Linked DNA regions of Xenopus tropicalis. The main gene of each other region encodes a partner of the protein of the gene in region 2 in a complex. Links are inferred from orthologs where the notes say so. Each region holds a gene or a part of one and is shown on either strand. Other genes may lie near its edges. The genes, in order: naa10, hypk and naa50.

Region 1 (2,941 bases), on a different chromosome or scaffold from region 2:
GTTTTTTTTCTAAATTATTTAACTTTGCTTAGTAGCTGGCAGTTTGCAATTTAAGTTACTATCTGGTTGCCAGGGTCCAAGTTACCTTAGCAGCCAGGCAGTAATATGAATGACAGGCTTGAAGATGAATAGGAAATAACCGAAAAAGTAACAAAAACATTACAATTGTAGCCTTGCAGAAAAATAACTTTTGGTTGGCTGGGATAGTGATCCCCAGCAAACGTACAGGGTTTTAAATTACCAGCTCCAAAGAATCAGAAGAAGCAAATCATAAAAAAAAATGTTATAGATACACAGCAATAATCTGTACTTCTGCTAATGCTTTAATGTCATTAAGTGCCAGGTTGCTGCTCCAGGAGCATCACATAGTCAATGGAAATAGTACTGCACTTGTAGGACTTTCTTATAAAAATAGAGAACTTTTATTGCACCATGTCGTTTTGGCTCGCTCTTGTTTTCTATTTCTTTAAGAAAGTCCTAAAGTGTGCTACTATTATATATGTATATATATCAATTAAAATTTGCTAAGATAGCCATCTGTAACATACTAAAATGTTACTTGAACCAATAAAACCGTGCAGAGCCTTCCCTCCTGAACCGCACCAGCTTGCCCCCAGTTATGCCCAGTTCACCTTACACTGAGAAGAGTCAGAGAAGCGCAGTGTGGTTCAAAGACACCATCTTGCACAAGCAAAGTGATTGCAGAAACACGCGACTTTGAAGCTATGTACAGTCTGGAATCAGCTGCACATGCTCCATGATTCTGATCACTTAAAGCAACAAAAGGTGAATGGGGCATTTTTGAGGGGCAAGCTGGTGGAACAAAGGAACAAAAACTTTCATATAAGGTTATCATTCTCCTTTAAAGGTAAACTACCCCTTTCATAAAATAAAACACATTCTTGTGCAAGGGTACTTCACATGGGGAGGAAAGGGGGCTTTAACTCGTTAATGGTTTCTAGAAGCTCTCCATCTGCAATTTTAAGAGATAGAACTGGCTTAATTTTTTGCATCTCTTTGCAGGGAAGAAGATCCGGATGATGTTCCACATGGACACATAACCTCTCTGGTAGGAAATGATTACTATTAATAAAAATTGTTTTGTGTTACTGATGCAGGGTAATGGTAAGAAATTTTTGTGACAAGGATATATTTTCACTTGTACAGGCTGTAAAACGCTCTCACAGGCGGCTTGGCCTTGCCCAGAAGCTAATGGACCAGGCCTCACGTGCAATGATTGAAAACTTTAATGCCAAATATGTATCTTTGCATGTTAGAAAAAGGTTTGTGTTATTTTGTCATTTTGGTGTTTTGTTTTTTTTTTTTCTTTTTTGTTATTACATATGTGCTGTACTACTTTTAATATGTTCTAATATACTTTTCTTTATTCTAATCAAAGCAACCGAGCGGCACTGCATCTTTATTCAAACACTTTAAATTTTCAGTAAGTATAAATATTCCTCAGTTTATGTAAGAGAATATGGGGGTTCATTTGTTTGATTTTTACTTTGTAGTGATATGTTATAAAGCATAAAGCCCCTTCTCACTTTAGTGGTATAACTGTGGGGCTGGGGTGAAAGGTGTTGCGGGGGGCTCATGAGCCTTGACCATCCCACAGTTGCAGGGTCTGTATTTTACTAGGGTCTGTTTATTTCCCAATGGGCAGTGCATTTGGAAAATCATCCTGTGTGGCATTTAAATAAAAATGAAAGGTAAAATGAGAATAAGAGCAGGTTACTAAAAGGGACAAATCCAGGTAATATATGCTTATGCTATTAAATAACACCTTGTGTTAGAATGATCTACTTTTGTTTTCCGAATCTCTTTCATGCAGAATCAGCGAGGTTGAGCCTAAATACTATGCTGATGGGGAAGATGCATATGCCATGAAACGAGACCTTACTCAAATGGCTGATGAGGTATTTATACTCTTCTACTAAACTGATATATGAACTGTTATAGGTGATTTATATCTGTAGATTAGTACCCCTTTCACAAATTAAAGGGATAGTCAGACTTTTATTTAGTCACACTTATTTTATTTCTTGGCATTTATTTAGCACTATTAAATTGATTCTTTGGCACACCACTTGCATACTTCCATAGGGTTCCTCAGCTGCTCCCAAGCCAATTCCATAGACCTTCACATGAGGAAGAAGCACAACAAAGGCAGATGCCTTTAACACATTTATTGCAGAAAGATGTGGCACAGATATACATTATTCCAGTTTAACATATATATATCATAGTCACACACAATAGGAGCCAGTTTTTATCAGGAGCCAAATAATATGCCTGTATGTTTTTTGAGTGTAAGAGAAAACCCACACTTATATGGGGAGAACATGCAAACTTCTTGCAGGCTGGATTTGAACTCTGGACACCAGTGCTCCTGTGCTGACCTCTAAGTTAGCTAGCAGTAATGATACAAGTTTAAGGCAGAAGAATTCCAGCAGTAATTCAAAAATAAAATGTCTTTCCCTGGCAGGTGGATTACACATTTTCTGGGCTAGGTTTTTACCACACATGATAAAGGGCATAAACCAAGGAACATATCAGTGTAAAAATAAATGGTCTGTGCAAAATAAAAAAATGTTTTTATAGTTATCCAAAAATATAATTTATAAGGGCTGGAGAGAAGAATGTTTAATCTAATAACCAGAGCACAACTTCCTCCTTTACATCTCTCTAACCTGTATCTCTCTTACTTAGTGGTCAGCGATTTGAAGTGGGGGAGCCACATGGAAGATATTACTTTTGAATCTGAATTGTGTGCTCAGGATCAAAAGCAGACTAACTGAACAGTTATGTACCATACTGCCCAATAGTCCTCCTATTGTTTAGTAAAAACACCAAACTTTTGGCTCACCTAATCAAATATTTACTCAGTCACACTTACTTCACATTTTCTATCTGTTATCTTGAACAGGCAGCCATCTTT
Region 2 (4,250 bases):
TTGTTGACATGACTATTTGATCTATGAATTGGACTACATCCAGGCATATTTATCTGGACAATACATAGGTTCCTACTTGGAATAATTGTTTTATTAACAGTATCCCATTATACAATGAAACACACACAAAAACTATGGTTGTGTGCAGTTGCCCAATATTTTGGCAAAACATGGAAAACGGAATTACATATTCCCTCTTAGCTGTGCTTTTGTGAGTGGACACAACAAAGTAAGGAGTGCACAGAAGTTTCCATGGAGCCTCATCACTGAGAAGTTACTCAGTTTTTTTTTTAAACATGTTTAAAAGAGATTGTTTTAATACGAAGCGGGCACGTTTATGAACAATAGGCAATTCTACAAGATACTTAAGTTTGTCTCATATTCAGTCATTTTATTTGACCTGGTGCTGTATAATCCAACAAACAGCTTTCCTCTGCAGAGACGTCAACTTTCGAGTCTTTACTTTTGGGTGTGTTTGGGCAACACCTTGTTTAGCCCCCAGCTCTGCCCTTCCCTGTCTCTGAGCTCATTTTAGGAGGATTTAGGTTCTTTTCAGTTGAATAATCGGATTGGAAACAAACATTTTGTGACTTTTTTGTATTTTTTGCGATTTTTTTCATCCCTTTTGTGACTTTTTCGTGAATTGTCGCAATTTTTTCGTAGCTGTTACGACTTGCGCGAATTGTCGCAACTTTTTCGTATTGAGCGCTAGTAAGCGGCGGGCAAACCTTTCCGATTTTTTCGCGACGGCTACGAAAAAGTCACAATTCGCGCAAGTCATAGCAGCTACGAAAAAGTCGCGACAGCGAAGAAAAAATCGCAAAATACCAATCATTACGAAAAAAACGCATTCGGGCACTTTCGATCCGTTCGTGGATTAGTAAATCGGCCCCTATTACTATGGGGAGTGGGACCAGATATCTTCTGATAAACATAGGAGTTTTGATAGGTCGGCATTAGTCAGTTGCATGAAATCAATTAAACTGTCAGCTTTGACTGCCGCAAATGTGCCCAATTGCCAACAAGCATTCTCTTGGACAAATGATTCTGTTAATCCTCATGCCAGAGTAAAACTACTAAACTACAAATATTATTTGTCTTTTAAAATCTTTAGACAAATATCTAAATATTTAAAACACCATTGATGCCCCGTTGTTTCTACGGTAGCAATCAATCTAACGTTTCAGCACAGGAGAAGGCAAAGTTTATGCAAGAACTTTCTTTTCCGGTTTAATGGAACGCATAGTTGTCCCGCCCCCTGCCCAAAGAACGATAGAGATCGCGGAAGTGACGAATGCAATAGGCCAAGAAACCGGAAGCGGCGATTGAAGCGAGTTTTACTGCCTTGTGTTCCGGTACAGGTGGGAAAGATGGCGGCAGAAGGGGATGTTGAGTTAGAATTGGAGACTGAAGAGAACTGCAGCGAGCGTCCTGCCGACAAACCGCGCAAACATGACAGTGGGGCCGCTGATCTGGAGAGAGTGACAGACTATGCCGAGGAGAAAGAGATTCAGAGCTCCAACTTGGAGACGGTGAGAGAGAAATAATAGCCTGGGTTATTGGAAAGGGCATGGACTGATGATCGTTTGCTCTGGATGGCTGCAATAAAGCAATACTTATGTTTACTGTCACTGTTAGGTTATTGTAGAAAGACAGTGGAAGATACTTGCTTGGCAGATCAGGCAGATACAGCTTTTAGCTGGTGTGCGGGGCAATCATTACATGAGTAGAGGCATTATTAAAGGGGAAATACTGTGCCAGGAGGAATAATGATTTCCTTGCAATTTACTCATCCACATATAGAAGGAACATGCTCTTACTAGATAACCTTTGCATTGGTTTCCCATATACTCCTAACACCAGCCTGGCATTTGACTCTCACTGGTTACCTGCCCTGGCTGCACTGTATCATGCCAGCCAGCTGCCATCTTGTAAGTGGGCATTACAGCAGAGCTGCAATTAGCTTCCTAAATTCTACTTTACTTCTGGGGAAGGAAGGTTAGAACAAACCCGTCCATTTGGAACAAGAGGTTACTGGTGTGCTAGACTTAAGGCCGAACTTAAATAAAGTTACCAGGGGCAACAAAGTGAGTGAGAATTCAACACTGCTTTCCCTTTAACTGTATTGAAACATTGTTCATACATTTTGAATGACTGCTTATGAAGAAAGAACTCTGTGTTCCAAGACTGGTATTCTAATCTCACCTGTCTTTTGTGCAGGCCATGTCAGTGATTGGAGACAGAAGATCAAGAGAACAGAAAGCAAAACAGGAGAGGTAATTGCAATACCATATACAACATTTTATACTGGCCCTTTCCATTGCATTGTAATCAGGTCTCATTTAAAATGTAGAATGGAGTTTTATAAAGTAGAGTATTACTGGGCAGTGTCATTACTAATGGGTTCAACAGATATGGACTGTTTAGCATCTGGTTGCTGTCAGTAAGCTGCGGGATCATGTAGTAGTGTCAAAGGCTCAGTGTGACTGAAACACATTGGAGAGGCTTTAAATTGTGCCACATACTTGGTACCCATGCCATAATAGATCTTGTTAGGAGTAATATAATGAAAGCTAATGACTCCTGTGGCTTTGTAGTAAGCAACCTCTGCTGTACTGTAGATTCTGGCAAGGATAGTTGTCCACTGGTGGCCTTTTAGCCTGTGTCACTAGTACACTGATTATCCAAAAATTATGCAGCAGTCTGTTGAATAGAGTGTCGCTACTACTTTTGAGGTTTATTGGGAGTGTTATGGTTTTTACCAAATATGAAGACTTCTCAATGTTCTTTTAGTGATGGTTCAAACACAATTTTTTTGATCTATCTGCTCAGAAGCTGCCTACTCGGTTCCGTTGAAATCGCAATAATTTTTATAAATACAATAGCTAATCAAGCTTCTATTTTTTCAGAGAAAAGGAGCTGGCCAAAGTAACAATCAAGAAAGAAGACGTGGAGCTTATTGTAAGTATGGATAGTGATCTGGGCAGGAGCCAGTGACTGTGGTATAGTCAGAAGTATCAGGATTGAAATTGTAACGTGCAAGAATATTACCTAGCAAAACTGGCCAGTGGATCATGTGTAGTTTGGCCATATCCTCAGGCCAACTTTTCTCTCTCGCCAGGCTGTAATTGGAATCGAGATTAGATCAATTGTGTATTTACTATTAGCTGGCATTAAGGTGGGGGTGGAAGAACCAGTAGAAGAGAGTGCTGGATAAACTGGAGAGTATTGGTGGCTGCTGTATGCAGATATGGTAACACTAGTCTTGCATTGGAGGCCTCTACTGAAAAATGATTTGTTCTTAAACAGAGCATTATAGTTATGACTTAGTTATAAAATGAGAATATTTTCATTTTCAGATGAATGAAATGGAAATCCCTCGAACAGCAGCAGAAAGAAGCTTGCGGGAACACATGGGGAATGTAGTAGAGGCGCTGATTGCTTTGACCAACTGATCTTCTGGATGCTGCACGGATTTTTATCTTGTTGAAGAAAATTTACTTAGAACTGAAAAGATTTTATACTTTCATTAAGAGTTGTGGACTTTATTAGGACATTAAACAGTGCTGTTTTCCTTCTTAGCATGATTATTTGGACATATTAAAAATAATGCATTATTCAGGGCTCCATTTCCAAATACTGAAGCCAACAGTAAGTGTACTAATTTATTTAGAATAAACACCATCTTTCTAAATACGATTCTGAGTGCTGCTTTAACTGGCCATGCCGTGTACACATCTCTGAAATAGTATGTATGTGATCGAATTCATTGCCATAATTATCATTAATTGTGGTGTTTTTTAACAGTAACTGTAGTGTTTTACTTATTTTTATCCCAGACATAAACATAGAAGACCTAAGTGTATTGTCCCCAAGAGTATCAGACCACATGGAGGCACACAGATTTCTCCCATAATAAGCACTTGAGTAAATTAGTGGCACACTGTATTTTGAAAGCATGCACTTTACACATAGAGATGGTGCCCATGGAAGCAATTGACAGCCCATTATTTATACTATATGGGTCCAGGTGACCTATACTTTTGCTGTCATGTACAGTAGAACCAAGGTCACTTACCCTTTTATTGAGAGATCTAGTGAGACAAGCAGGAAAGCATTAAAGGAGAACTACAGCCTAACTAAAGTAGTAGGACAGAAATGTGTTGTACATTATGTTTTTGGCTTCTGTACCAGCCCAAGGCAACCACAGCCACAGGGAAGATCTAGTCCCGCTCATCTGTTTCACTTCA
Region 3 (3,415 bases), on a different chromosome or scaffold from region 2:
TTTTCCCTCAATAAATGTTCTATTAATGCTTAGCATGTTTGTTTTTAGGTCCCTCAGGCCCAGTAACATTCCAGGGCTATTCGCATTTTTATTTATTATTTGGTGTTTTTGCTCAGTTGCTGACTCAATATCTCTCTCCCCCACAGCTTATTTCAACGACATTGCTGTGGGTGCAGTGTGCTGTAGAGTGGATCACTCCCAGAATCAGAAACGACTATATATCATGACCCTGGGGTGCCTGGCCCCATACCGCAGGCTTGGAATAGGTAAGCAGCCTTTTTATTAGTAAAAATTGCCAACTTTCTACACAATGCCAATCTGATGGGGGGGGGGCAGCTCGTTTGTATCATTCCATGACCCCGGTAATTACCAAGCCATGCCCAGGGCTCAGTCTGTTTCAGGGGTCAGTCTCCCCCAACGAGTCAGGTCTGTCAGGCTGCTGCCTTGTGTTACATTGTTTTACTGATTTGGGAACACATTGAGGCAATGGATGTCATGTACAGCGCATCAAACAGTACAATGTTCAACTTTATAATTCATGTATTTCTGTGTTTGCAGGAACAAAAATGCTGAACCATGTTTTAAATATTTGTGAAAAAGACGGCACCTTCGACAACATTTATCTGTAAGTAATCGTGCATTTTAATGGAATATCTCTGTGTATTGTTAGGGCCCCTGGTGGCCCTGCTCACAATACACGTTTTACGAATCTATTGTGCAAAGCGGATTAGTAAGAAGTGAGAACTTTGCCACCCAGTCTGAAATCTAAACACATCCATGAAAAGTAGGGTGAGCAGATCACTTGAAAATGCAGGGACACATCTAAAAAATCCAGCTAGCAGTTTATTTTAAATGCAGCGCTGCCCTGCAACATCTGGTGGCCCTAATCAGCAGCCAATCACTTTGAGACCCTAGAGCAGGGATCCTCAATCTACGGCACATGGGACCACCCAAGGTAATTTACCCGGCCCCCACTACGTTCTCACCCCTTGCAGCGGGAGCTGGAAGAGAGGGAGGACAGAGTGGGGGGAGCTGAAAGAGAGGGGACTCGGTGGGGAGTGGGAGGGGGGCGCTTGGAGAGGGAGGACAGATGGAGCTGGAAGAGAGAGGACTCAGCGGGGAACGGGAGGATGGATGGAGCTGGAAGAGAGTATTAAGCGGGGAGCTGTGAGAGGGAGGACAGACGAAGCGGGGAGCGGGAGGGAGAACGGATGGAGCTGGAAGAGAGCAGACTCAGCGGGGAGCAGGAGGGGGGCGCTGAGAGAGGGAGGACGGATGGAGCTGGAACAGAACACTCAGCTGGGAGAGGGAGGACGGATGGTGTTGGAAGAGAGAGGACTCAGTGGGGAGCTGGAAGAGAGAGGACTCGGCGGGGGGGGGAGCTAGGAGAGGGAGGATGGAAGGAGTGCGGGGGGAGCTGGAAGAGAGGACTCAGCGGGGGGGATAGTTGGGAGAGAGAGGACTCAGTGGGAGGGGGGAGCTGGAAGAGAGAGGACTCAGCGGGGGGGTAGCTGGGAGAGAGAGGACTCAGCGGGGGGGGGGGTAGCTGGGAGAGAGAGGACTCGGGGGGGGGGCTGGGAGAGAGAGGACTCAGCGGGAGGGGGGAGCTGGGAGAGAGAGAGGACTCAGCGGGAGGGGGGAGCTGGGAGAGAGAGGACTCAGTGGGGGGGAGCTGGGAGAGAGAGGACTCAGTGGGGGGGGGCTGGGAGAGAGAGAGGACTCAGCGGGAGGGGGGAGCTGAGAGAGAGAGGACTCAGTGGGGGGGGAGCTGGGAGAGAGAGAGGACTCAGCGGGAGGGGGGAGCTAGGAGAGGGAAGATGGATGGAGCAGGGGGGAGCTGGAAGAGAGAACTCAGCGGGAGAGGGGAGCTGTTATTGGGAGGACGGATGGAGTGGGGGGAGCTGAAAGAGAGGGAGGATGCAGGTGTAGGCTGTAGTTTGACCCCACAGCAGGGAGCTGGAGCAGGGTTGGGGGGGATCTATATTCCGGCCCTACCAACAGACTGAGGGACCATGAACTGGCCCCTTGCTTAAGAAGTTTGAGGACCCCTGCTCTAGAGGCTTTGAGTTACATGGAATGTCAGGCGTTTTGGTGATGGTTCCTCCACATGGATCTTATTGGAAACTGACCGTATTTTACAACTTAGTTGAGAGATATAGTTGAACCTGTAAGAAGGTAAAGTAGTGCAACTCAGAATGTGAGAGCGCACAACTAACCCGAGCATTTGTTTCCTCTTCGGCAGCCACGTTCAGATCAGCAATGAATCCGCCATAGATTTTTACAGGAAGTTTGGCTTTGAGATTATCGAAACCAAGAAGAACTATTACAAGAGGATAGAGCCGGCCGACGCTCACGTCCTGCAGAAAAACCTAAAGATTTCATCTCCGGGGCAGAATGCAGACGTGCTAAAGAGCGAAAACTGAACGGAAAAAGCAACAAACACTTCTCTTGCACTTGCTCGTCGCCAAATACGGAAAGAGACCCATTGAGTTTTATTCTAAACGTTCACCTCTAACATCCCCCCTTCTTTCTCCACTTTAAAAATGATAAAAAAAAAAAAACAGAAAAAATTGCTTCTTCCAAGAGTTACACAATCTGTCTCTCTCACACAAACAGGTATTTCAGTCGGTCGAACTCGGAATATTTCCCCGGGGCAGAGTTCAGTTCGGCGGGGGAATGTGGATTTCTTTGGCTTTACAAGTTTTTTTGTTTTTGGTTTATTTTTTCCCCCCCCTTTTGTTTGGGAGAGTGAGTGGCTTCTGTCGGTCTGGAATAGTCTTTAAATAAAATCTCATTTCTTTTTAGCATTCTCTTTCAAACCTCGCTGCCTTTGTTCTTATTTATCCTCGGATGTTCTGTGCACTTGGCTTTACCTATAGAATGTCCTATTCTTACTAACTTTTCAATTGGTCTTCATATTTTATTATATAAAGTTTTTGAATTATTTGCCTTCTTATTCAAAATCTTTGCAGCTTTCAAATGGGGGTCACTGACCCCGGCAGCCAAACCCTATTGCTCTGTGAGGCTCCAGTTTTATTGTTATTGTTACTTTTTATTCCTTATCTTTCTATTTAGGCCCTCCTCTATTCATATTCATGTCTCTCTTTCAAACCACTGCCTGGTTGCTACAGTATATTGGACCATAGCAACCAGATAGCTGTCTAAATTCCAAACTGGAGAGAGGCTGATTAAAAATCTAAATAATTCATAGTCTCATATTAGCACTCTCCATTATACTAAAAGTTAATCTAAAGGCAAACAACCTCTTTAATTTAATTGTGAGTAGATAATCAGGATGTTTTGCCTCTTTATATTAAGCTGCACTTGCTATTACCTAATCATATAAATTCCAGTACAACCATCCCATAGAGGGAAAGAATTCATGTAATGGGGGGGATAGTGGGGCAATTCCACA

What was found.
Region 1: the proteins of hypk (region 2) and naa10 are in contact, whole or in part, in a crystal structure (PDB 6C95), measured with the Homo sapiens proteins. The link is inferred for Xenopus tropicalis from reciprocal best matches to the Homo sapiens genes HYPK and NAA10. Residues at the interface, in NP_057484.4 of Homo sapiens: Lys27, His28, Ser30, Gly31, Asp34, Leu35, Arg37, Val38; in NP_003482.1 of Homo sapiens: Glu24, Tyr26, Lys29, Tyr30, Tyr33, Lys59, Glu134, Lys136, Tyr137.
Region 3: hypk (region 2) and naa50 share a complex: the UniProt entries of both Homo sapiens proteins name them as parts of the N-terminal acetyltransferase E (NatE)/HYPK complex. The link is inferred for Xenopus tropicalis from reciprocal best matches to the Homo sapiens genes HYPK and NAA50.

Annotation. Positions count from the first base shown.
Region 1 is NC_030684.2:34,756,832-34,759,772, reverse strand, and holds part of naa10 (N-alpha-acetyltransferase 10), read left to right. Parts: intron 1-1,023; coding exon 1,024-1,069; intron 1,070-1,167; coding exon 1,168-1,283; intron 1,284-1,399; coding exon 1,400-1,444; intron 1,445-1,834; coding exon 1,835-1,919; intron 1,920-2,941. UniProt on the Homo sapiens protein: Catalytic subunit of N-terminal acetyltransferase complexes which display alpha (N-terminal) acetyltransferase activity. Acetylates amino termini that are devoid of initiator methionine.
Region 2 is NC_030679.2:107,674,884-107,679,133, forward strand, and holds hypk (huntingtin-interacting protein K), read left to right. Parts: upstream 1-1,363; 5' UTR 1,364-1,370; coding exon 1,371-1,532; intron 1,533-2,220; coding exon 2,221-2,276; intron 2,277-2,909; coding exon 2,910-2,961; intron 2,962-3,359; coding exon 3,360-3,455; 3' UTR 3,456-3,694; downstream 3,695-4,250. UniProt on the Homo sapiens protein: Component of several N-terminal acetyltransferase complexes. Inhibits the N-terminal acetylation activity of the N-terminal acetyltransferase NAA10-NAA15 complex (also called the NatA complex).
Region 3 is NC_030678.2:3,208,341-3,211,755, reverse strand, and holds the end of naa50 (N-alpha-acetyltransferase 50), read left to right. Parts: intron 1-146; coding exon 147-266; intron 267-558; coding exon 559-625; intron 626-2,242; coding exon 2,243-2,423; 3' UTR 2,424-2,819; downstream 2,820-3,415. UniProt on the Homo sapiens protein: N-alpha-acetyltransferase that acetylates the N-terminus of proteins that retain their initiating methionine. Has a broad substrate specificity: able to acetylate the initiator methionine of most peptides, except for those with a proline in second position.